3 linked regions of the Tribolium castaneum genome follow. The protein of the gene in region 2 purifies or fractionates together with the protein of the main gene of each other region. This does not show direct contact. Links are inferred from orthologs where the notes say so. Each region holds a gene or a part of one and is shown on either strand. Other genes may lie near its edges.

The links. Proteins that work in one complex are often made in the same cells at the same time.
Region 1: the proteins of mahj (region 2) and CSN6 purify together in Homo sapiens (affinity purification with mass spectrometry; 7 studies listed by BioGRID and IntAct, with this or other methods). This does not show direct contact. The link is inferred for Tribolium castaneum from reciprocal best matches to the Homo sapiens genes DCAF1 and COPS6.
Region 3: the proteins of mahj (region 2) and dual specificity tyrosine-phosphorylation-regulated kinase 2 purify together in Homo sapiens (affinity purification with western blotting; 5 studies listed by BioGRID and IntAct, with this or other methods). This does not show direct contact. The link is inferred for Tribolium castaneum from reciprocal best matches to the Homo sapiens genes DCAF1 and DYRK2.

Annotation. Positions count from the first base shown.
Region 1 is NC_087398.1:15,417,975-15,426,165, reverse strand, and holds CSN6 (COP9 signalosome complex subunit 6), read right to left. Parts: upstream 4,462-8,191; 5' UTR 4,376-4,461; coding exon 4,171-4,375; intron 4,120-4,170; coding exon 3,988-4,119; intron 1,834-3,987; coding exon 1,682-1,833; intron 1,631-1,681; coding exon 1,271-1,630; intron 1,005-1,270; coding exon 864-1,004; 3' UTR 785-863; downstream 1-784. Other genes in the region: uncharacterized protein C9orf85 homolog, read right to left, coding at 4,735-5,295. UniProt on the Homo sapiens protein: Component of the COP9 signalosome complex (CSN), a complex involved in various cellular and developmental processes.
Region 2 is NC_087398.1:984,276-992,468, reverse strand, and holds the start of mahj (protein mahjong), read left to right. Parts: upstream 1-3,463; 5' UTR 3,464-3,731; coding exon 3,732-3,844; intron 3,845-3,890; coding exon 3,891-4,041; intron 4,042-4,092; coding exon 4,093-4,230; intron 4,231-4,278; coding exon 4,279-4,406; intron 4,407-4,452; coding exon 4,453-4,628; intron 4,629-4,679; coding exon 4,680-4,756; intron 4,757-4,804; coding exon 4,805-5,340; intron 5,341-5,407; coding exon 5,408-5,546; intron 5,547-5,596; coding exon 5,597-6,095; intron 6,096-6,146; coding exon 6,147-6,256; intron 6,257-6,302; coding exon 6,303-6,582; intron 6,583-6,636; coding exon 6,637-6,983; intron 6,984-7,032; coding exon 7,033-7,151; intron 7,152-7,205; coding exon 7,206-7,439; intron 7,440-7,488; coding exon 7,489-7,887; intron 7,888-8,090; coding exon 8,091-8,175; intron 8,176-8,193. Other genes in the region: uncharacterized protein LOC656652, read left to right, coding at 1,687-1,788, 1,833-2,169, 2,222-2,247; nuclear migration protein nudC, read right to left, coding at 2,558-2,896, 2,944-3,021, 3,072-3,155. UniProt on the Homo sapiens protein: Acts both as a substrate recognition component of E3 ubiquitin-protein ligase complexes and as an atypical serine/threonine-protein kinase, playing key roles in various processes such as cell cycle, telomerase regulation and histone modification.
Region 3 is NC_087403.1:4,164,751-4,172,994, reverse strand, and holds the start of dual specificity tyrosine-phosphorylation-regulated kinase 2, read left to right. Parts: upstream 1-3,783; 5' UTR 3,784-4,225; coding exon 4,226-5,125; intron 5,126-8,244. Other genes in the region: serine protease inhibitor 77Ba, read right to left, coding at 1-55, 101-318, 363-576, 623-817, 866-957, 1,069-1,087. UniProt on the Homo sapiens protein: Serine/threonine-protein kinase involved in the regulation of the mitotic cell cycle, cell proliferation, apoptosis, organization of the cytoskeleton and neurite outgrowth. Functions in part via its role in ubiquitin-dependent proteasomal protein degradation.

The sequences.
Region 1 (8,191 bases), about 14 Mb from region 2:
TGTGGAACATAATTCATTAGTTGACGTTAGCGATGTTAAAATTCTTTGAATCACTCTGTCTAGTGAGGAGTATTATTAATTTCTTTCGGTTTTGTATGTTTAAAATGATACGATACTACTACATTATTACATTCGAGATTTGTCGATTGTTAAAAGCTCGGTTACAGGTGTGTATTATGGCAATGCCGCTGCAGAGGCTAGGGCATATACGGAAAAGTTTCTAAATCGCATTGTAGCTTATTTTGTGACAACAAATTTAGTAAATTCGCTTTTAATAAAATTTAATATCTAAATTTTAGTTTCTTATCAATAACTCGATAACGAAGGACAATCAGACAATTTTCCAGCTTTCGATTTGTTTTAGTTTTCTGAAGCAAACCCTAAAAGCACGGGCGTCAATTTTGAGACACCCTGTATACATATGATTTTCCGATAAAGCCAAAGGGCCGCCATCTTGAAAATATTTTTGTTGGAGAGGAACTAACAGATTATCATTGTGTAAAAAAACCACTTCTATACTAATGTGGGGTTTAGAAGCAGCAGTTAGCAAATATTTTGTAAAAACAGGGAGATTTTTTGTGTATTCACCGTGTTGTGTTAATAACAGTTATTTAAAAATTGCTTCTGTGATAAAAATCACAAACATCTCTCTGTACCGCACACAATCACCACTCAAGTGAAGAAGAAATTACAAACTGTAGTCTTCCCAAAATTTTTATACAAGTATCATTGCCTTTTATAAGCTCTTTTGATAAAAATTGCCGCAAAATACAATAAAAGACAATTTGTAATATGGAAGGATTGTTTAATAGAAACTTTAATACAGAACTGAGGGTTATAAATAAAATTGCTTTTTTTACGAATTAAAAGAAAATTCCTCTCATCCTCCTGCCCAGTCCTTGTCTGTCATACAAAATGTTGAATTTGTTCACAAACTGGTTGAGATCATTACAGCCCTTTGTTAAAGTCCCTAAATACGTCATAAGGCCCACATCGTTGCATTGCTGTAAAAACACGTGACAGTAAGTACAACAATAGTTATTTATTTACATTATACGTGCGATAGGTTTAATTTCACAGCGTGAAGTTTTAATATTGACAAAAACTGAACGCTGTAAAATACCTAACGTACAAAACTTTTTGGCCGACGACAGTTCTTCGATAAATTCATATTTCGACGAGCAAACATGTCAATGACAGTTGTCGCGGCCAAAAATGTGGAAAATTGCTTTCCAGATAACTAAAAACTACGTGTGCAAAAAATACTTACATTATAAAAATCTTGTCGAAACCTTGCACTTTGTATAACAGGTAATCGGTGACACAACGAATAAGCCTCTCGTAAAATCTCGTGATTTGTAGGCAACTGTCCACTTTGTACAGCTTTCATATACTCTAAAACCAGCCTAACTCTAGAATGCAACATTTTGATAGCACTGTGTTGCGCTGTCAAATGCTCTGCAACAAGAGAGCTTTCTCCTGAGTCCGTTGAAGACATTCTCGCCACATGATCTACTCCAATTCTTTCTGCTTCTTCGGTTGCCAGAGTATAAGACAAATTAACAAATAACATTGTTGCTTCGCCCCCAATCAAATCAATTACAGACTCGTAAAGAGCAACCGGCAAATGCTAAAATAATTATGTTAAAACTAACACTTAAAATGCAGCCTGTGTACGAACATCAATGTTTTTGTCGTAGGGATTTAATTTAAGCAAAATTGGAGATTCATTAATGTCGCATATTTGCTTATGGATTTTAATGTCAGTGGTGTTGGGGATGTCTCCGGTGGTGTACCAACCAATGAAATCCATGTCACTGAACACCTGCTTGACTGCAATAGATTGTTAACAAACAATTTTTGTGTTTTCTAGTGTTTGAATTTACAATAAGAGTAGTTTTCTTATTTTTATTATTTGTATTCACCTTTCAAGCCAAGATCTCTGCGCTCTCTGGTGAACCACTCCCTTGCGAAATTTGATTTTGGCAGCTAGAGTACCATAAAAGATCTATTAAAAGTGTCAAACAGACAAAAAACGTTTGTACCTTTTCAAAAAAATTACATTTAAATTTCCCGCTATATGGCAAAGCAGCATTTCACAATTAACAACCAGAAAAACCAAAGGTCTTAACTTGAAAGGCGAATAATTGTCATAACTAAGCGCAAAACTTGAGAAAAATTAATAAAAAAAAAAATGAAAAAATATATACACCGTATTCGGTAAATGGACTGCCATCGCTTTACTGCGAACTCACAGGAGTCAGAAAAATATTATTCCGCATTTACATGAACTTTACTGTTTATAAAATTTTCAGCTACTGTATCCATACTTTACAGTTTATAGCAACCTTGTTAGAGTTGCCACCTGTCCGGTTTTCACTCAATACAATCCGGATATTAGACGATATGTCCGGTATCCGGATCAAATGTTAATTTGTAATAAATGTCCAGTTTTCTTAGGGTAATTTAAATTTTGTTGTATCTAAAATTAAAATTAACGACCAATTTTAAAAACTCTGCGATAGAACGCTTAATTCCATCTGTAATTTTTCTGAATTCGAAACTATCTAGTTGTTTCCAACAAATACTTTGAATATTAAAAAAAACTTGGAGTGAATTGGAAAAATGTAGATATACAACTTCTAAAAATTGAATTTACATTTTGCAAACAGGATACCGGATAGTTTTGCAAAAAAAATGATGCAGAAAGGTGGTTTACTGTTTATACAATGTGTTTTTAAATGATTCTCATCTAGTTAACTTTGAAATAATAAATACAGAATGTTAATATTCAATGTCTAAATGCCTATCATTAGTTATATGTTCTTTTACATGAGAAATTCACAGATGATTAGATGTGAATCATTCTAACACTCATTGTACAGGCTGCTGCATTTTAGATGTCGGAATAGGGGAACTCCAAAACTAAGAGATTTAGAGAAAAACAAGTGACACATTTTCTGGTCCGTTTTTTTAAAAAATAATTTTGGTCAACCGCATCCCGCTATCATCTTTTGTTTTCGACTTATCAACAGAACTTGACATTTTAACGAAATCTTAAAAAAAATCATATATATCTTCCTTATTATAAAAGATACACATTTGAAACACAAACATTATACAAGCACTTTTTACAGAGAATTTAAAAATGTTATCAGCGATTTTTTTAACCTTTCGTTTAGCTGTAATAAGTTTTATTTTTTTAAATATGAATTATAGGAGGCTGTAATATTTTTGTAAAGCTAATTTTTTTCTGATTTGATGTGTAATACATTCTTTTTAAATATTAAAAAAAATACATTTCGCTTTTTCTGTATAAAGTTGACACTAAAATGTCAACTTTTGTTTATAAGTCGAAAACAAAAAACGATAGCAAGATGCGGTTTAGACCAAGATTATATTCTCAAAAAACGGACCCAAGAATGTGTCACTTGTTTTTCTCTAAATCTCTTAGTTTCGGAGATCTCCTATTCCGACATCCAAAATACAGCACTCTGTACAATATTATTACTACAATATTTTTTATACTAATGCTGTTTGTTATATTTCTTGTATCAGTACATACTATTAAAACTATTGGCAATGTTTTTTTGGTTTTGTAATATTTTATTTGAAAATAAATTTATTTTTATTAAACTAAGTAAAAATTCTTAATACAAACGAGAAGTCAGGTAATAAGATGCCATTACCAGAGTATTTTATATACGATAATACGATAATATAAGAATGTAAGTTATTGTTGTTAGTCATTTTATTGTGGTGTCCAAAGCTAAAAAAAATCTGATGGTAACCCTAAACGTTGCCTACCTCCCACAAAAAATTTGCAGTCTGGCTAAACTTCATTATAATTTACAACAGATCTTATTCAATGAAATTGAAGAAATAAATGAGTCTCAATTACAACAAACGCAACCAACCATACAGAAAAAATCTTCCCTACTCTGATTAGTGATTACAAATTCCGTTGACCACACGGTACATACTTACATTGTTCTTCCTTCATGTTGTAATAATCCCTGTCGATAATAACATCCCCTCCAATTACACTAAATACCAGTTCAAATGAGTTCATTATTTCAATGTTTCGCCCCTTCTGTTTACCAATCAAAGCCCCAATCACTTAAAATGTAACATTATAAATAACTAACTATACTGTAAATGGTGTCGTACCTCGTTGGACTGAGCCCTCTTGAGCCTTTTCACGTGTCCAGTGCTCAGAAACATTCATTATCACCAAAGGGTGCAATGAACAAGTCACAGAACCGACAGCCCCAGCTGCCATCACACTTTTTTCCGAATCTTCCGCCGGATTATTTGCAACATCAGCAGAAGCCGGATTATCGACTTCCATTTCCATTGATTCTTTCGTACTCATATTAATTATTACAAGAAATTGAATCAAAATGTATAAATAACACCGCTAACAAAATGACAAATGACAGCGCTTTGACCCTTTGACAGATGTCAATGTCACAAGTGGCGCCAAACTTAAACGCAACATATTAACATATTCCTCAAATTTTATTAAATTCAAATACCTAATTAAATTTACTCATTAGACGAATTAACGTCATCACTTCCATTATTTCTGTAGGACGCATATAATTTATTACAAGATAATTAACCGAAATGACAAATAAGATCGCTTTGACAGAACGTGGTGCAACAAATAAAAATATTCGCTCTTTTATTTTATTATTTTAATTAAATTCTACAACCAATATATTACAAAATTTAATCATCCGACGAATCAACGTCATCAAAATCGCTGAAGTCGTCCAAGTCATCGTCAATCTTAAGCGCGTTGAGTTTGCTTTTCAAATCTTCCTTTCTCTCCTCGTCATTCGTCGAATCTTCCTCACTTTTTTTGCTCATGTACCTCAAAAACGTCCTCCGTTTGCGTTCCGGAAGCGTATGTAGCAAATTCTTCATTTCGTTGTCCAGTTTGAGTTGTTCCTTTTCGTCCGGTTTTGTTGTAATAACTTCTTTCGTTTCACAACATTTTGTACAAACACCAAATTTTTTTCCACAGTCTGTACACATCACATGATACGCTTTCTTCACGTTTTTCTGATCACATCTGACACATTTTCGTGGCTGTGTGAGCGGTTTGTATTTTTTGTACTTTATTTTCCACTCGATTATTTCCTTGCAACGGACACAAACGTCGCTGATTTGGATGTTGTTAATGTTTTTCGTGCGTTGACTTGTGTCGTGGAGGGTGTTTTTGAAGGCGGTTTTGTTTTGATGTTTTTGGGAGCGACTCCTTTGGGCGTTACCTTTTTGGGTGCTCATTTTTTCTGGAACGAAAACGTAGCTAAATGGGCTTTTATGTCTTTAATCAATTTTTTTGTTAAAAAAACTCATTTTTATTGATTTCTTTGCCTATTTCAATTTCAAACTCTTTATTGAATTGTTGAATGACCTAAAGATAAACACGCCAATAAAAATCAAAAAAGGCAAAAATAATTAAAATATGTTCGGCAAAACTTTCTCATTTTCTGTTTGTTTTTAGCAAAACGCTCGAAAATGACAAAAAGAATAATAAAATAAAATAAATCTCAAAAAAACTGACAATTTAGTTTGAAAACTTCATTTTTGACAAAGTTGTTATTTGTTTGGCGCTACTGTTGAAAAAACTTTGTTTTTACTTCAAAAACGTGCTTAAACACTGTAAAAAGGCAAATTTAACATCATTTTTGACCTAATTTATAGTACATTAAAAACAAGTTTTATAAGACGAGTCTTAATCTTATTATGACATCGCTCTTGATAACGTTGCGTGCTTTAAGATGCCCATTGAAACATCAAAAGGGCGGCAAATTACAAAAAAAATATTTTCAAACAGTTTTTAACGAAATTTTGGATTTTTAACTGACTGACCACTATCTTTGAAGGAACTAATTATTATTGACTATTGTGTTTTAATTTCGAGAGAAAACCGTACATGCTAAAATACTTAAAAAAACGGCAAAATCCGACAGAAATTTCTAGATCAAAGATCAGTAAACTAAAAATTTTATTTTAAAATATGCTTATAAAAACGGGAAAGATTTGTTGGTTGTTTAGGGTAGGGAGTGTCTGATGAAGATTTAATAAAAAATCGAAACGTCGCAAAATTATAAATTTTAATTACTCCCTGCCCTAAACAACCAACATATATTTTCTGGTCATGTTGGCTGGTAAAGTTGAAACAAAATTTGAACAAAATTTTGTTTTGTGTTTTATTTTTTGACGAAATTACAATCAACTAAAATCGAGTGATACAACCAAAATTATATCGCTTCCGACCTAATTCTGTAATTGTTTAAAATACGTGCTTGCTTATGCAGTGGGAAAAGGCAAACTTATCTGATAACATAATTTTTGGCTTAATTTGATAAATCTTCGTCCTGTTTTTAACAAAATAATTTTGCGAAATAATAGTTCTTCTAACTCGCAATCATCAAAAAAAGTAAAAATAGTAATACAACTTCTAACACAACTCACCGACCATTTAGAACAAGACCACAATTTTTGCCAGTAATTTATTGTTATTCTGGCTTAATTCTTTACACAATTTTGGAGAAAATTGTGTATGCTGAGACTTTCAAACCAGACTAAATTAATATCATTAAAAAAACTAAAAATACACGTACAGTTTTCAAACAGCAGGGGTAGACATTGAAAAAGATGAAAATAATACATTTTCTACCAATTTATAGGTTTTGTCAGTTTATTTTTTGATGACATAAATATGGACTCAAACAAAAAAATAAGATCATGTTCGACCTAATTCCGCCACTTTCAAAGTAATTGTTTTGTTCAAAAACTAATAGTCACTATTGCTGTGTGAAAAATATAAAAACGGCAACGTCGCATTTTCTCTCAAAATTAGCTGTTATAAATTATTCATGCACTTCAAAATATCAAAATATTGATAGCTAATGCAATTTGTACTTTCAATGATAGAGATCTAATGATTAATAACTAAAATGCGACATATTTTTATAGATTCGAAACAGCTAATATGTATTTTCGACAAGTTTTTTGTTTTTCTGGTGATATTGTTAATGCTTGGTTTTCACATCAAAAACGTGGTTAAACACTGTAAAAAGGCAAATTAAATATTATTTTTTAACTTTACTTGAAATATCTCCGCCCGTTTTGGATAAAATTTTGCGAAATCATTATTTCTAACTGACATACGTTATAAAACACACGAAAACATCAGAAATGATGTAGTTTCCAACAAAAAAAATGTACTGATTTTTCAAAACAAAATCACTGTTATTGAACTAATTAAACTTTTTTGACTTACTTTTTGTAAAATTTCGAGATCAAATCGCATCTGATGTAACAAAATCTCATAAAACCAAAGATTTGGTTTTAAAATATGCTTAGACGTTAAAAACGGTAAAAATAACAGAATGTTCTACCAAATTGTTTTTTCAGATTATCTTTTGACGAAATTTCGATCAAATGCCAACCGAAATCGAAAGAAATAAACAAAATAAGTAATTCTAGGTATAACTCTTGGTCTAATTTCGAAAATGCACAAAAAAAATTTAACCATCGAAATACGAAGAGATTTAAAAAGAAAAAAATGCAAAAATCCAAAAGTCTGTTTTATAAGATAGATAATAACCAAAATGGGAAATAAACACCAAACCATAATGTCAAATTTTTATTGGTTAAATAAACATTTTCTAGATTTATTTCGATTTTTGTATGCTTTCTCGACTCTTGGCTAAAACTTTCGACTCCAGTTTCTTTATTTCTTCCATTTGGTTCGTTAGTAATTTTTCCAGTTCCTTGGTCTTCTTGCCAATCAACTTAAATTGCTTCTGTTGTTGCGTGATGTATTGTAAAGTTTCATTTTTAGCAATTTCACTAAGAGTATGAACAGTAGTAGCAAAAGTATTCAACTGTTGGCTCAAATCAGTAGCTATACTTCTATATTCGGGCAATTCGTCCCATTTTGCCGACATAGCACCCACTTTTGTGGCTTCGTCAATAATTTCGATTTGTTTTTGTAAACATTCCTTGTAAGCTTTGCTTGTTTCCAGAATATGATCGCGGAAGGAATTCATCAGTTGCGTAATTGCTACTTCACCCTTCTCACAAGCTGCCTTTAAGTGCAAATCAAAATTATCCATTGTGTCTTTTGAGCGCTCTTTTGAGAAAATTGGATAGGAAGTAACAAGAAAGA
Region 2 (8,193 bases):
CGTAAATAGTTGGTAAATTTCACGCATTGACATTGATCCTGACGAAGGCGAAATACACCTCCCACGCAATAAAAATGCATCATTTTCACACTTGGACAATTAACCCGATTTTGCAACATTCAATTGCAAAGGATGTGATTAATGCACTCGTATTTCGTGCTGTGGCAATTAAAGTTTTAATTAAGAGAAAACACGGTGCATTCATGATTTAAAGGGTCTCTCGGCTTGAGAAAAAATGCATGACGTTGAAACCCTACCCAAAACCTTGACTCAGTTCCTTAATTACATCAAATCACAACGGACAATTAATAAACAAAACAGAAAAAATAATTACAGCTCGCAGCTCGTGAAAGTAACTTCCTTGTGAAAAAATCGTCCCTTTTGAATCAATAATTTTTTCGCCGTGCACGGCCGATTAAAATAAATGAGAAGTTTGTTGTGTAAACACGCATCCTCTTGTTTTCCCATTATTTAAAATAAGGTAAACAGACTGGCATTGACCCGAAAACACGATTAAAATTATAACTTTAAATGAAGATTTTTCAACAAAAAATCCAAGAGTCGCACCACCCCGGAAATTTTCACTCACATGTTTATGTAAGCAAATGAGGAAGTAGTAAAAATGAGCGAATATCACTCGAATTAATTCAGAGCCGAAATGCTCGCTCTAATAATTTCACCAAACCCGGGAGAAAGGATGATTATAAATATTGTTGGTGATAATGATTCGTTTCGTGCATAGTAACTATTCAATAAATTAGAATATCTAGATTGTCTACTGAGATGTGCAGTGGAGGTCGCCTTCGAACGCAGTTAATTGATGTTGATTAATACCGCACTCATTAATCGCTTGCAATTTACATAAACCTATAAAGTTTAGGTCGCTAAACCTTCACTTGAAACTTTGTAATTTATCTTCCAATTGTTTCGTCCGAATTGTACCCTTGAACGTTTCAATATTCTTCCGACTACCAAAAAGCACCAAGCACGCGTCTCTGTTTGAATTAAGTGATTAAAACATGATGCAACAAGAAAATCCACAAATGTCGTCACTTGCAATGAGCAGAATCCGGAATGTGTCAAAACAAATATTAATGGTTTGAAGCAAGGACGGTTCGATTGTGAGAAGACGTAAATAAAAACATCGCCGAATTCCAGGAGAGAGGTTACAGTCATTATCGCCTGAAAATCATCGGAAGAATACCGAGAAAAAGGCCACTAGTGAAAAATTAGACTACAAACGGCGGCCGTGACCGAGATAAAAATGTATTAGCGTGTTTCACTGATTACTTGTCAATCTTCCCAGCTTTTATTAAGCGGGTGATTAAATTCAATGCTACCGAATCAAACAATAAAATGCCACAATGTGTATTTTTACCAACAAAGCCAATTATTACAAAATGTCATACAAACACGATCTATAAAATAAAAATGAGCGTCACGTTCGGCGCTCAATGAAAAAAACACGGGCTTAATAAGGAAATTGTACATTGATTAATAAAAAACGAGGCCGAAATCAGAATTAACATAAATTAATCCGAAATTTTTATGAACGGTACGAGAATGTACCGATTTCGTTTTGACACCTGCTTACCGTCTTGCATAATGCGATGAATTAACAATAAATACGCGACCTTCGATATTAAATAACCACTTACTTTATTACATTAATATTGATTTTTGCAGACTCCGGCAGAGCTCAACAAGAGCTGGCACATCCCCAGACCCACACTAGCTAGAAGCTCAAAGAGTTCGCAGGGTTCGACGTCTAGCAATAATAGCACACAGGTACAAATAAAAAAATTAAGACAAGAAAATCATTGGATTTTTAGAGTGCAAGGTCCGGTTCGTTACTACTGACAGCAGCAAATCTGGCCCAAATACAAAATCCGGACACGGACAAAAACACCAGACAACAAAACATTCAGTATTACCTCGAACAAACAAACAACAATGATCACATAGCACTGCCTGTTAACGATTTGAAGAAACCAGACCCAGATGCTGTTTCAGTGGCAAGTTCGATGCATTTTACCGTAGTTAATATGAACACGAGACCTGTGGTCAGGCAAAGAAGTTTCTGTCGAAAACACCAATTGACGATTCTAGTTTTGACGATGTCCGCTTTGTTTACCATAGGGATCTTGGCGGCGATATTTCTCTTAGAAAGTAAGTTCTTCCGCTTTCATTTCAGCCAATTTCCAATTTTTTATTGTTTCAGTGAGGGCGAAAAGACAACGGTACTAGGATTAGGACAAGCATCGACATTTCTCCAAAAATTGACGAAGCATTGAAATGTCGTGCGCACTTATCGTAGTTAGTTATTTAATTCCCTATTTAATTAGGTTTAGCAACTGGACCAAAATTGTGGTTGTTCTAAATCATAAGCTATCCATAAGTATTTTTTGATGTTACTGTGATATGTAAAAGCAATCATTACAGCATTGTATAGTATTTATGAACAATTTTAAGGCAGGTCCCGAACCTCCTTGGAAATCTTGTAAATTGATTTTTAATTAAATTATACAAATAAATTTTCTACAAAACTAAGACTTACCTCAACGTCTTGGAGAGTCTGCGTCCACCTGTACTTGTCCAAATCACATCCATTGCCACTGTTTGGCTTCAATTTCCCAATCTCTGAGGCATCCTCATCCTCTTCAATTTTCTCAACAGCTGGGGCCCCATTACTCACCCCACTTTTCTTAGCATCTAACTCGGCTTGCAACTTTTCAGCCTCAGCATCAGTCAATTCGGTGATTTCCGCCGGTTTTACCTTCTCCTCTTCTTGCTGTTTCTTCTTTTTGGCGGCTTCACGTTCCCGACGCTCTTTTAACTCCGTCTCGTGTTTCTTACGACTAACTTGTTCGTATTTCCTAAATGTGCTCATTACTAACTAAAAACCAGGTCATTATTTTTCGAACTGGCTTTACCCCGGACTACCTTTTCCCATGCTCCTTCCTCGCCCCCGGTGAAAAAATCCGTCTTGCGGCTTAGAAAACTCACAAAAGTGTCCAATAACTACAGTTTTGTCGTGATTTTAAGGTTAGAGTAAACAGATCGAGGCTCACCTGCGAAGCGCCGTGCGGATGGTGCTGGGCTATTGACAGGAAGAGGGAATCGAATTGCTCAGTCTGATTATCATCGCCACTCATCTTGACTGGACTTTTTTCGTGAAAAAATGGTCAAAAATCGTGGAAATTGCTAGACTTTTCTTCTATCGACCAAATATCAATTGTACCAACCAAACCAATCGGCGTGAAAACTTCCAAAAACGGTGCTTGTACCAACATTGATGGGTCAACCGAATGTGGGAATTTTAGCCAAACGGGGACCACCCTCAAATTAAAATTAAAACATGCAAAGGGGGTGTATATTTCGATAGTGCGAAGCTTATTTCCTATTCGTTAAATTTCCCAAGGGTTTATTTTAGCTCTGTTTTTTTTTTGTACCATTGGCGGCACTTTTTTAGTAACATACGTGCTCGATTTTTCAATGGAAGCCAAGAATTGTGTTTTGCGCTTTGTGAATGTGTATTGCGCCAATTTGTGAAATAATCAAACTGATTACGATTTTTTACAAGCCAGAAGTGTAGAGTTCACATTATCGCATTGTTTTTGCCAGTCTCCCGGTGTCCTAATTATCTCACCTTGCAATTACGGAACTGTAAAGTATTTTAGGTTATGTTAAACTACCTCATGCCCTTTATTTTATAACGTTTTGAGCCAATAATGTCGGAAAACAGCAATTCGACTTCTGTTATGTCAGAAGTCACAACTCTGATAAGAAACTGGGAAGATGAACATACGGCGCCTAATTATGACCCCATTCAGACACTCACCAGGTAGATCTTGCCTTAATTTGGCAAATTCTTACCCTTTTGTTGGCAGATTGGCCGAAATATGCGAGGTGGAGACTGAAAATTACCTGAAAATGGATCCTGACCCATTTGATGAACGCCACCCTTCACGAACTGATCCTGACTGCAAACTTGGCCAAATTTTAAAAGCGCTTTTTAGGAAGGATATTTTTATGAACAAAGTATTAACTCTCCACAAAAACATAAAAAGACACACATAAATATTTTTTCAGCTTGTTAACGATTATTTGAGAGAAACGTACTACTCTCGGTCAGGAATCACAGACAAGGATGTTGATCAGTTGAATATTGCAGCTTGTAGGTTGATGCTAGACGTAATGCCTGGCTTAGAGACATCAGTGGTGTTTCAAGTACGTGTCAATTATTTTTTTGGGGGGAAAACTAACGACTAGTTTCAGCCCGATATGGATAATTTGATTCACCGTTTAATTAAATGGACTACAAATTCAATAGAACCTCTGCAAAGTTACGCAACGGGGCTTTTAGCTGCTGCAATGGAAATTCCAGAAATTGCCACACGTTTTAGGTAAGTTTCCGCTTTGGTCTTATCGCAGTTAATTACCAAAAAATAGGGAACAAAACGGACGACTTGTGCCTTTACTACTTCAAAGACTGCGTAGGCTTCAAAATTCCTCGGAATTTTTGACCACGACAAATACTCGACCTTTTGCACACTTATCTTCAATGAAGTCGCCCCCTTATCGCGGTGACGGTGTCGTAAAAGTTTCACCCTCTGGTATTAAAAGGCGTACGTAACGACACCCTATTGTATTTTACCCTTCAATAATTATTCTTACAGCCCGCGAGAATGGAGTTATTCCAAATTCGAAAACAACACTTAATAAAGAAAACACTGATGTGATTAACACTAGTGAGGTAAGCGCGCCTTTTCCTCCTCGTGATATGGTCTCACGTTTAATACAGTTATCAGATTCGGAAAGCGGCCAAAAACGCAAAAAACTAAAGCTGGAGCACAATTCAAGCGAAGCTGATGAAGGCTCTCCTCAAAAACCCTTCCTATTTAACGAAACGAGCAATTCGTCGTGGGCAGAGCTTGAAAGTTTTATGATTGGAACCGTGCAAATTTTTCCGCCAACTATAGCAACGCGTCAAATACTCATTTTACGTTATTTGACACCGTTGGGTGAATATCAGGAGTTTTTGAGTCATGTTTTCGAAAATGACGCTCTTAGTTTGGTCTTAAAGTATGTGAATGTCCGAGCGACTAAAGAAGCAAGACTTGCATTTGAAGCCTTGAAATATCTTGCTGCTCTTTTATGCCACAAAAAATTCTCGATTGAGTTTATTCAAATGGATGGTCTTGAGGCACTTCTGGAGGTGCCAAGGCCGTCAATATCAGCCACTGGGGTCTCGATTTGTTTGTACTATTTGGGGTATTGTGAGGAGGCAATGGAGAGGGTTTGTCTGCTTCCGAAATACATGATCACCAGTTTAGTCAAGTAAGTCTAAGTTATACCTTACAGTTTGTAAAATCAATTAAAACTCATAATTTAAAAAAAATCTTAGGTATGCTTTATGGCTTTTGGAATGCTCACACGATTCGGGCCGATGTCATGCTATAATGTTTTTCGGTCTCACGTTTCAATTCAAAGTGATTTTGGAGGAATTTGATGCTCATGATGGGTTACGAAAGTTACACAATGTGGTAAGTTTATCCCAAGTAAAAAAAATTGTTTGCTAGAGTTATATGTACAGATTTCTACTTTATCAATTTTACTGCCGGACACCGATACGACTCAACTAAACGAAGATCAAGAGTGCGCCGCTCGTCAAATCGTTCGCCACGTTTGTGTTGCATACCGTCGTTACCTTGAAGCTCATCTAAACCTAAAAGTAGAACCAATTAAAAGATCACAACTTAGACTTAACGAAAAAATGGCACAGCCGCCTTTACCGGCGCAGCCGAGCTACAAACCGTACAAGTCATCGCCTGAAGAGGTGCAACAGAACGTCGAAACGTTGTTGCAATATATGCCGTTTCGGTGCCATTGGACGCCAGTTGATCAGTTACTCAAATTAGGGGGAATCACACTCTTGTTGAAAATAATCGCGTTTGCGTATGAGTGGAATTATAGTGGGAGGGCTGAGACGGTCAGGTCGGCTTTGGATACGTTGGCTATTGCGTGTGTGATGCCTAAAGTTCAATTGTTATTTTGTGATAGGGTGGAATTGCCAGAGGAGAGTGCCACAGTTGGTACGAGAAAATCACAGTTTTGGGATTTTTTATTGTTTTTTTCTTCTGTAGGGATTAATATTATTTTGGGGGCCGCTGAGGGTGAAATAGTGGCCGATGCTGATGTACAAAAGGCTGCGCTTCGAGTCATTGTCAATTGTGTGTGTGCCCCCATAAATAGGGTACGTTTTTTACCGTTTCCAGACGTTTGTTTGATTTTTTTGTTAGGTTGGTGGTACTTTAACCCGATATTCGGCCACGGTTAACAGCCCAATTAAGAAAATTAAACTCAAAAGTAGCGAAGAATTGATTCAGAGAGTTTGGGATTGTGTCAGGTCTAATAGTGGTATTATGGTTTTGTTGCAATTAATGAATATTAAAACACCAATCACTGATGCGGACTGTATACGAACTTTGGCTTGTAAAGCATTGGCCGGCTTAGCACGGTCGGAAACTGTCCGACAGATCGTGTCAAAATTACCGCTTTTTACGAGCGGACAACTGCAGAGTAAGTCTTGATACGAGGCGAATCCGAGTGGGGTAACAACTGACTTAATTGCAGATTTAATGAGGGACCCAATTTTGCAAGAAAAACGCCAAGAACATGTGACTTTCCAAAAATATGCACTTGAACTTTTGGAACGACTTTCGGGGAAAACGAAACATCGGGGAAATGACTTGGAAGTTTCTTTAGCCAACATACATAGAGCTAACGTTGTGGCTCAGACTAAAATTCAATTCAATGATCGGCAATTGTTACAACTCATCCACCAACATTTAATTACGAAAGGTTGTCCAGAAACGGCCTCTATGTTAGTGAAGGAAGCAAATTTGGGAAACTCAGTCACGCCCATTTCAACAAATCAACCAACCAAATTCCGATACTCGTCCACTCTAACACCATCTAGGGTAAGTAGCAATTCACCAAAGCTATAATTAAGTGTAACAAATGTCTTAGCTTAAGTTAAATTTCACTCCAATGCAACACCGCACAATACCGCAGTCACCAGTGCAAAAGGAGGAGACATCGTTTATTAATAGTTCCAACTGTACTTCCCCTGCTATTAAATTAATAAAGTATGGTCGTCATTGTAGATAATTATCATATTTTTTGCTAAGAAAAAATTTCAGGAAACACCAAAATCAAGTGGTCGCGACACCACCGGTCCAAAACTCCCGATTACAGAAACAAACGAATAGCGATGTTGTAGTTAGGGTGCCGAGTCAGAGCTTGCTTGACGAACCGACGAATCCACCCGAACAGCCCCGAGTCACGCTCGATTCGATCATAACCGAGTATTTAACCAATCAGCATGCGTTATGTAAAAACCCCATGGCCAACTGTCCCAAATTCAATCTCTTTATGTAAGTTTAAACTCCTATGATTGGTTGTGTTTCTGATGGTGTTTTCTAGTCCACATAAATGCCCAGACCCTAAACCAAAGATAGCCTCAGCCAATAATTTTGTGGTGAGGTGTGCGCGACGTGCTATTGGGTATCAGTCCAAGTCTATGGACCGGAAATTTATTCATTCGAGATTTTGTCCAGTTCAAACGATTCGGTCGTCGTCCGATGGCGATTTCTTCACTTGTGCGAAATTTTTACCGGGTGATAAAAGCATAATCGTGGGTGATTACAGTGGTGATATACGAATTTTTAATCTGCATACTGGAAATGAAGAGTTTATGTTTCAAACGCACGATAATTATATCGTTCATTTGGAGCCTAACAGGAGTGGGGAGTTTCTGTTGACGAGTTCCACGTGGGGGCGGCCTCTGTCCGCACTCTGGGCCATAAGGAACTCCGAGATGAAGTAAGTTTTTTACTTTAAGTCGAACTTAAAATTTTTTTGCGAAACTCGAAAATATCAAAAACAATTGTCTAAAAAATTAATTCAACTCGCAAAGCGATTTTTTTAACCGTTTGTATAAAACCATACAGTTGGTGGTCTGATTTGACCACTCGATGACCAGAAATGTTCGGTTCTGCGAATTTAGCGTCTAACTTGTGGTTTAGGTTTGCGCTGGACGATGAAGAACATGTTGAGTTTAGTAAAGTGACACAGGAGCGGATTGTGGCGACTAAACTTGAAGTTGCAACAGTGAGTAACACTTCACAG
Region 3 (8,244 bases), on a different chromosome or scaffold from region 2:
TCGCAAGCGTCTGATCTTTGTACGGCAAAATCACAATCATTGACATTTTGTCGCCCTACAAAACGTTGTTATTTGGTCATTTATGAACGGAAAGAACCACCTTTCCGTAGGGTAACTCTATGGCGTAGCCCCTGATCCACTCGAGTCTCGAATAGGGGAAGAAGCCCATCTGCGACATCATGTCGACCTCCCCAAGTTTGTTCTGTTTCTCGTCGTAGAAAGTGTCACGGCGCGTTTCAGACCTATTGAAGGGTTTCATCCACGTGCCTTTGAAATACATGGCACTGACGATGAAAATTTCAGCGTCAAAAACATCGTCTAAAAAATGGTTGCAAGGTTTCGAAAGTTGAAATTTTAACTACCTGGGCGTATAAAATTTCGTATTCGGTTTTTTGTCGCGCTAGCCACGTACTTGTTGATTCTATCGCTCGCGGTTCTGGTGTCTGAAAAATCGGTGGGTTCTATTTTGACTCCGTAATCTTTGTGGGCAATGTCGCGGAAGTCGGTTTTCAGTTCCTGGGCTTTTGTGGTAAAAATAGCGTTGTAGATGTCTAGGTTCACCCCGTCGTCTTTTTCCTACAAAGTTGGTGAATATTAAGGATCGGAACAATAACGCAACTACCGATAAAAGGGCCGACAAATTTTTGAAGCTGTTCCTAAACATAGCCTTGTCGGGAAAGCTTGGTATCCTGAGGACGCTTTCCATCTGTTTGGCCGTTTTGTCCTTTGCTCCTTCATCGATGATCGAGAGAAGTGTCCACACTGTGTACGGAGACAGTGCTAAGTTCCGTGGACTTCTCGGTTCTTTACTGGTAGCCTGACATCATTAACATAATTAAATAAATAACCAAGGTTATTAACTCACCGCTAGTAAATCGATTGCAAACGCATTCGACGAGTCGCTGATACTTTGGGCCTTAATGCAAAAAATCACCGTCGCCCAGATGAAAATCGGTACTAAAATATTCGATTAAATGTAACAAAGGATCGTGTAGATCGCGTCAATAAAACGTTCAAGGTGAAACACAATAGAATAACGTGAACTTTGCTGTTTCGGCAAAAACTTACACTTTCTCTTCAAATCCATGTTGTTGTTGGTACATCAGCAACTGCAGTGCCTTCCTCACAAGCGATTAGAAAACACTGGATGCAATTAAACTCGTCGGCGGTAATTTGCGTTCAACTCGTTTTGTGAAGAAATTTTGATATCCCCCGAGTTAGCGCGGTTGACCTTTATCTGTTAACTATCCCGTTAATATTTTTTCCTTTTATAGCACAAATTTTAGTGTTTATCCTAATACTTACGCACGTACACAGCCAGAACGTCTTACCAGCTTGTTAAAGATATTCATTGGGTTTTTCCCAGCGACTTGAATCTCGAACAGTTCCTTGCTTTTTCAACGAAGACGGATTTATATCTAAATTTAGTAACTGTTGATAGGTATAAATCAACTCATTGATTTACCAATACGTAAATCAACTCGAAGAACTTATTAGTAATGTGTACCTATCGGTTTCCCATTTGGCTATCCCTCTCTTGAAACCATCAACATCCGGAAACTTGTTTCAAATAAAAAAATTGATGTCACTCGTTATTGTATGGAGATATGACTAGTCATTTCATACCATAATTGAGGGAATTAACAATCAAATAGCCACTATTTGCAATATTATGTAAAAATAAATCAGCTTGGAGCTAGTTCTTGAAGCGAGTTGAAAAAAATATTTCCTTGATTTTTCGAAGGTAGGTAAGTGGGTTCGTAACTATCAAAACCGTAAAAATTTTCAATCAACTTTAGATCGTAAAATTATTTCAAATATGGTTTTCTACAGACGTAAATGTGCGATGATGTATTTTACAACACTCTAGGATAAACAGTTTTCGAGAATAAATCGTTTTAAATTATTGAGACAAGTTAAAAAGTTACACATATTAGATTATAGCGGAATTTAATTTTTTTCACAATTTTATCGATTTTCAAGATGGTTTGGTTGTACGATAATGACAACAATAGAAAAATATAAAGCAGATTTAATTCGTTTGATCAAAAATCAACCCTCTGGTACAGGACTAATTACGATATTTTTATTTTCTGGTTAAGCAAAAACTTTTAAATAAAAACCATCTTTGTCTCCACTTGAAACCCTCCATTTTTTTGGTGATTTTGTCAAGACGTGTCTTTTTTAATGACAAAATCGCGCTTTTCGGAAATGACTGATTTTTCAAATTTTTTTCGGCATTATTTTTTTTCAAAGTTGGCCGTTTTGAAAAAAAAGAACTTTGCGTGAGTGAGAGGCTTGATACGACATCTGTAGTTTGTCCATCAAAACTACACAACTAAAGGCCGCTTCACAAAACAATTAATTAATGTGACGTAAGTAGCAACTTAATTCGAATTAATTTATTCTTGAATTATAAGTTTTAATCCGCTTTTTTTAAATATTTGCATTCATATTTTAATTCGCGTAACAATTTAATTTGAGTTAATTTAGCATTAATAAATCGATGAAAGTCCATTTTGGATATTGCATCTTAGTTGGAGAATTGTTCGGCCCCCACTGCGTGCATTCGTGTCTCTTGAGAAATTAGCTACGCCAAAACCATTAGAAGATTTTGTAATAAAATAACCAACAGTTGAGTTGAAGCTCAACTAGAATTCGCTTTCTGGTTGGGAAACAAAAATTTGAACCCATTTATTGCGTTTACTTTTATTGTAAAGTAAATTATTTGCGAATGAAAACAATAAAATGTCGGTTCATGTATCATTGCACTTGTAACGAAATTGATTTGTCGATCGAGACGTCTTAATTGATTCGCCAAGCAATCACATTGCTGAAAAACTGGTTCTGCGGCGATGTGTGAATGCAATTGCAGGGCCTGGGCCAACCCACTCGCATCTCCCAAACCACTTCCCTGATAGTGGGGACATTTCACCGAATACTCCACCAAACAAAGCGGTCAAAGCGTCAAAAGACGCACTCTTTTCGTCTTTGTGACACTCATAAATAATAATAATAATAAATAATAAGATTATGTATTGCTGTAAAGAGCACTTTTGGCACAATTATAAGACAAAATATTGTTTTATATCCGATTTTGATATTGTTTTTGATTAAGTGGATATTGTATTGCTGGTTATACCTGCCTGTCTATACTTTGTAATACGATTACCTTTTGTTCTGAAAGTTTTGTGTAATTCAATCGGCTTCACAGTTGTTGATGCAGTTCTATATTTCTTTGTTGTAGAAAAATGAAATCGTAAAATGTATGATGTGATTTTCTACGTTCCAATGTCGGCCAATACACAATAGAAAATAGTTATTGAAAAAAAGTTAGTTTCCAGTGCAGACATGCAATTAGTCACGTTGTCTCATCATCGCTTCCTGGTAGTGAAAGTTAATAACATCTGATAAGAACTCGCAGATTATCATCCACACGATAAGCTTTGGTGGTTTGAAATGTAGTAGCAAAGCAAATCATTTACCACCTGCCTACTCACGAAATTATCTTTTAATTTGTTTTAAATGTTTAGGTACAGTTAAGTTTCGAGCTTTGAAAATACAAATATTATGAGAAATTTTTGGTTTTTGTTTTCTCTGTATGAAATTATGATTTTTATGTGAAAGCACTACAAGTGTGGCATTGTGTAGTGATTTCGATTATATTGACGTAATTACGCCGGCTGGCATAACTTTTGAGAAGTCAATGACCCTTAATTGTTGAGTCAAGGACGAACTGGCGTGAATATATTTTTCGGAAGGGTTTTGTGAGGGGTGGAAGTGAATAAAGTGGTGAAAAAACGTAAAAGTGTTTGTTTTCTGTTTATTGTGTGCAAATGATTGATAATAAGCGGAGTAAAAAAATATTTGTTTGAAATTTCGAAAATGGGCGGCTCTAACTGGCTGGGATAGACCAATGGTGTCCGGGTAAATTTGAGTCGAGGAGGGTCGAAGACGGCCGAGAGGTTTTGTGCAGGCAAGCAGCGCCACCAGTTGGAGCACTAGCACTAGATCGGAAATATGGCTGTAAAATAACCAAAATCCCTTTGTTATAGTTAAAATGTTTTTGTATTAAAGTGGAGGCCAAACGCGTGTCGCTGGTGGTTGGCGGCTCAGGATGTGGAAAAGGGTCCAGTGCGAGTAAGTCCGTGTATTAGTTAGTGGTGCGTGCTAGTGATGGTTGGCCATCAACCTCTGGGCTTGGGGAAAATGAAACGCGCTAGAGATGTCTAGCGCTGCAGTGGCCAACTCGTTGAAGATGCCGATGTCCCGCACCCAGCTGTTCTCCTCGCACTCGTACCTGGCCGAGGGGGGCGGCCTGCCCCCGCTGAAGCCGGCGGCGAAGGAGCAGAGCCCGCCCGCCGCCGCCGCCCCCGGCGGGCTGCCCGAGCTGCAGGTGGTGGGCTCGTGCGCGCTGCAGTGCATGCAGCCGCACATGCTGCGCCCCAAGGGCTCCCCCGGGCCCCCCGACAAGCACAAGACCATGGTGGCCACCCCCGACCAGGTGATGAAGCTCTACATGAACAAGCTGACGCCCTACGAGCACCACGAGATCTTCAACTTCTCCCAGATCTACTTCATCGGGGCCAACGCCAAGAAGCGGCCCGGGATCATCGGAAACCCCAACAACTGCGAGTACGACAACGACCAGGGCTCCTACCTGCACATTCCCCACGACCACGTCGCCTACCGCTACGAGGTGCTCAAGGTGATCGGGAAGGGCTCCTTCGGCCAGGTGGTGAAGGCCTACGACCACAAGAACCACATGCATGTGGCCCTCAAGATGGTCCGCAACGAGAAGCGCTTCCACAGGCAGGCTCAGGAGGAGGTGCGCATCCTGGAGCATCTCCGGAAGCAAGATAAAGACAACACGATGAATATCATACATATGTTGGATTCGTTCACGTTTCGTAACCACATGTGCATCACTTTCGAACTTTTGTCCATCAATCTCTATGAACTTATCAAGAAAAACAAGTTTCAGGGCTTTAGTCTACAGCTAGTACGCAAATTTAGTCATTCGCTACTACAATGCCTTGATGCGCTTAACAAAAACAAAATTATACACTGCGATATGAAACCGGAAAATGTTCTGCTGAAACAACAAGGAAGAAGTGGACTCAAGGTTAGTACAACCATGCTACACCCCCCAAATTCACAACAATGCCAAAAACTCACATCCACGTGTGGGTGGAACACATGCATTTCAAAAACTACAAAACAAACCTAACAGTTTTAGTTTTTTATTTTTATTCATATTGTGGGGTTGAAACTGGGCTAGAAATGAAATTGTACATTTATCAATTTTTTATCGAAATTTAATTCGGATTTAATGGACAACAAAGACTAACTTTACATATCGCACATCCGGAAGAGAGGCAAAACTAATTAATTATTAAAAATTTCAAATAAATTTGCCGGCTCATGGCTGCAATATAACTATATCTTTCGGTTTTATATTACGAAAGATAATTATTTAATGTTTGACATTTTTGCACGTGCGAATGTTCTTCCGCAGGTGCGATTAATTATCGCAAAAATATTCGCATAGTTATGTGAAGATTTGCAAAATTGGCAATAACACTTTTTCCTCTGATAACATTTACCATCAGAGATTAGGTAAGTATTTAAAATGTGCACACTCACGGGGAAATTCGTAATCTAAATCTTCGTCACAGAAATGTAGGAAACTGAGGAAATTGAATAAACATACAGGGTTGTTCTAATAATAATAATAATAATAATAATAATAACTCTACACGTAGTAAAAAAAACACGTCAACAGATACATTAAAATGACAACCGAAGTGGTACTTAAAATCTACAAATTTTGGAAATTTTTTTGAAAACACACGATACAAAGTATTAATCTATGAGTTCTGTTCGTTATAACCGGGTCCCACTGTAATAGTTTTGGGAACTGCAGTTGTCGGAGGATAATTGCCAGTAGTTTGGAACATTTATTGATGCTCAAAAACTGATCGAGTGCAGATATGGGAAAGCATTGCTATTCTATAATAAATAAATGGGAAGTGTGGTAAAAAATAAATCACTCTTGATTTTGTCTGAGCCAAATAAAGCGTAACTCAACATTATCCGTAACTACAATCTAGCAATTGAAAGACTATAACTAGTTATTAACAATAAGTCTGACTTCCTGTTTGGTCCAGGTATTTATTATCCTGTATATGCTTCACATAGACTGGTCACGATATTTGATGCATCGTTGCTTTTTCATTATAGTTGTAGAAATGGTGGTTTTTTGTCACTGAATACAATAGTGAAAACAAAGAAAAACATGTTCTTACTGAGACAAAATTAAAATTAAACGCCAGAGGAACTGTGCTACAATAAATTTAAACTCGGCGACACTAATCTAAACTTAGCTTTCTAAACAAAACAATGATTTCTTGTTTTGGTTAATTGATCAGATTAGAACGTGATGAATACCCCGATTGTTTTGAATATAAGGCAAACCGCAAGTTTAATACAATTTTATCGTATTCAGTTACCGAGTGCAATATTCGCCAATATCGATCGGTTTTGACAAGAGCACTTTCTACGAATTGATTGTATCTCAGCGAAAGATTGTCACTCTTGACAGCCATAAATTTGGACTTTATTATTTTAGAAACTGCACTTAACCATGAACAATGTGTCTTAAGTTCAACATACCTAACTATGAAGCACTTAAGTGGAAAGAAATCTACGACAGCGTCTTGGACAGGTTTTCGGCTTTATTTTATTGTGGCCTGTTCTAAATCTTCAAAGTGCTTTATTGTGGGTAACCCACTTCTATAAAATTTGTCATAAATCGGTTTAAAATTATGCCAAGGCAATACTATGGCAAATATGGATGCAATCCATTGTGAACTTGTGTTTATTGTTTGCAAAATTCTGCAATTGCACCTACATAAACATCGTTTCGTAATATAAAATATTGCCCAATTTTGGGATTTGATGTAGATTAGATAAAATCTGTTTCTTATCAAACAATCAAACTAATCACAGTCAATATGGAAATATTCCACTAAGAATCGGTTTAGAAGCCTCTAGAAGCGCGAAATGTCATTATTGTTATTATAGCGTGTCTGTTTTTGACACATTTGCATAATATTGCATGCAACGTTCAAATATGCAAACCACAATTATTATTTTGACGTATCAATACACAGAATAGACGCTTCTAATGGTCAGGCTTGCAAAACACTATTGATTTAATTTGTTTTTTTATAGTCAAGCATAATACTAATTTTAGATATTTATATTTTCACCTATCACGAAAGCGCGTGTATGTGACAACCGAAAACATTACTTTATAATGTGGTGAATTAAATCTGCCAAACTTTTGAATGAACCATTTATTAAATTAAAAATAATAACAATAACGGAATATTCAAATACATATTTTGGTTTTATTGTTGACTTATAATTTCAAATTGTTCTAATTTTTTATGTATGTGTACATAAATAAATAAAAAATGTATTATTTCTTGAAACAAGAGATGCGTAACACCGTCATTATTAGTTGCGTTCCAATGAAAAATGGCGTCTATCCTATTATTTAATAAATTCAGATTGTGCAAGTTTATTTATATTATGAAATTAATACAAAGAAACTATTCTGATTATTTTAGATTAAATTTTCTTATAATGATGCGTATTCACCTTTTATTTCAAAGAAATACGATTAATTGAATTAACGAAATGCTGCTCTTTGTGTGATGGATTGAAAATATGCACATCATTTAAGAATAAAATAAAACTACTCACGTAGCTTGGACTGGAAAAAGTGTCCATTTGTCTCGATATAAGTTTGTGCAGCGCTCGATTAAAATTGTTATTAAATTTATTGTTCTGTTGTGATTGCCATGGTAGAATAATAAATATAATCACAATTTCAATAGAGCTCGTCACGAGACTGGTAAATATTTTTCTTTGGTTAGTTAGAGGTTTTTGCGATTTCATCAGTTGTTTCAAATGATAGGTAGGTATACAACTAAAGCAGTACTTATGAAGGCATTTTTTTATTTAAAAACATACATTTATTCTTAATTTTTTTTAATTATTACCAGAGTATACAGTGGAGATATAAATTTTGCTTTCTTATTCTCCGATATTATCGGAGAATTGGATCAAAAATCCAAGTTTATTCCTTTTTCAAGGCGTTTCAGTTTGACTCACAGTTTCCACAGTTAAATCTAAAAAATAGTTAGGGGATTAAATTGTGGATGTCGCGATGTT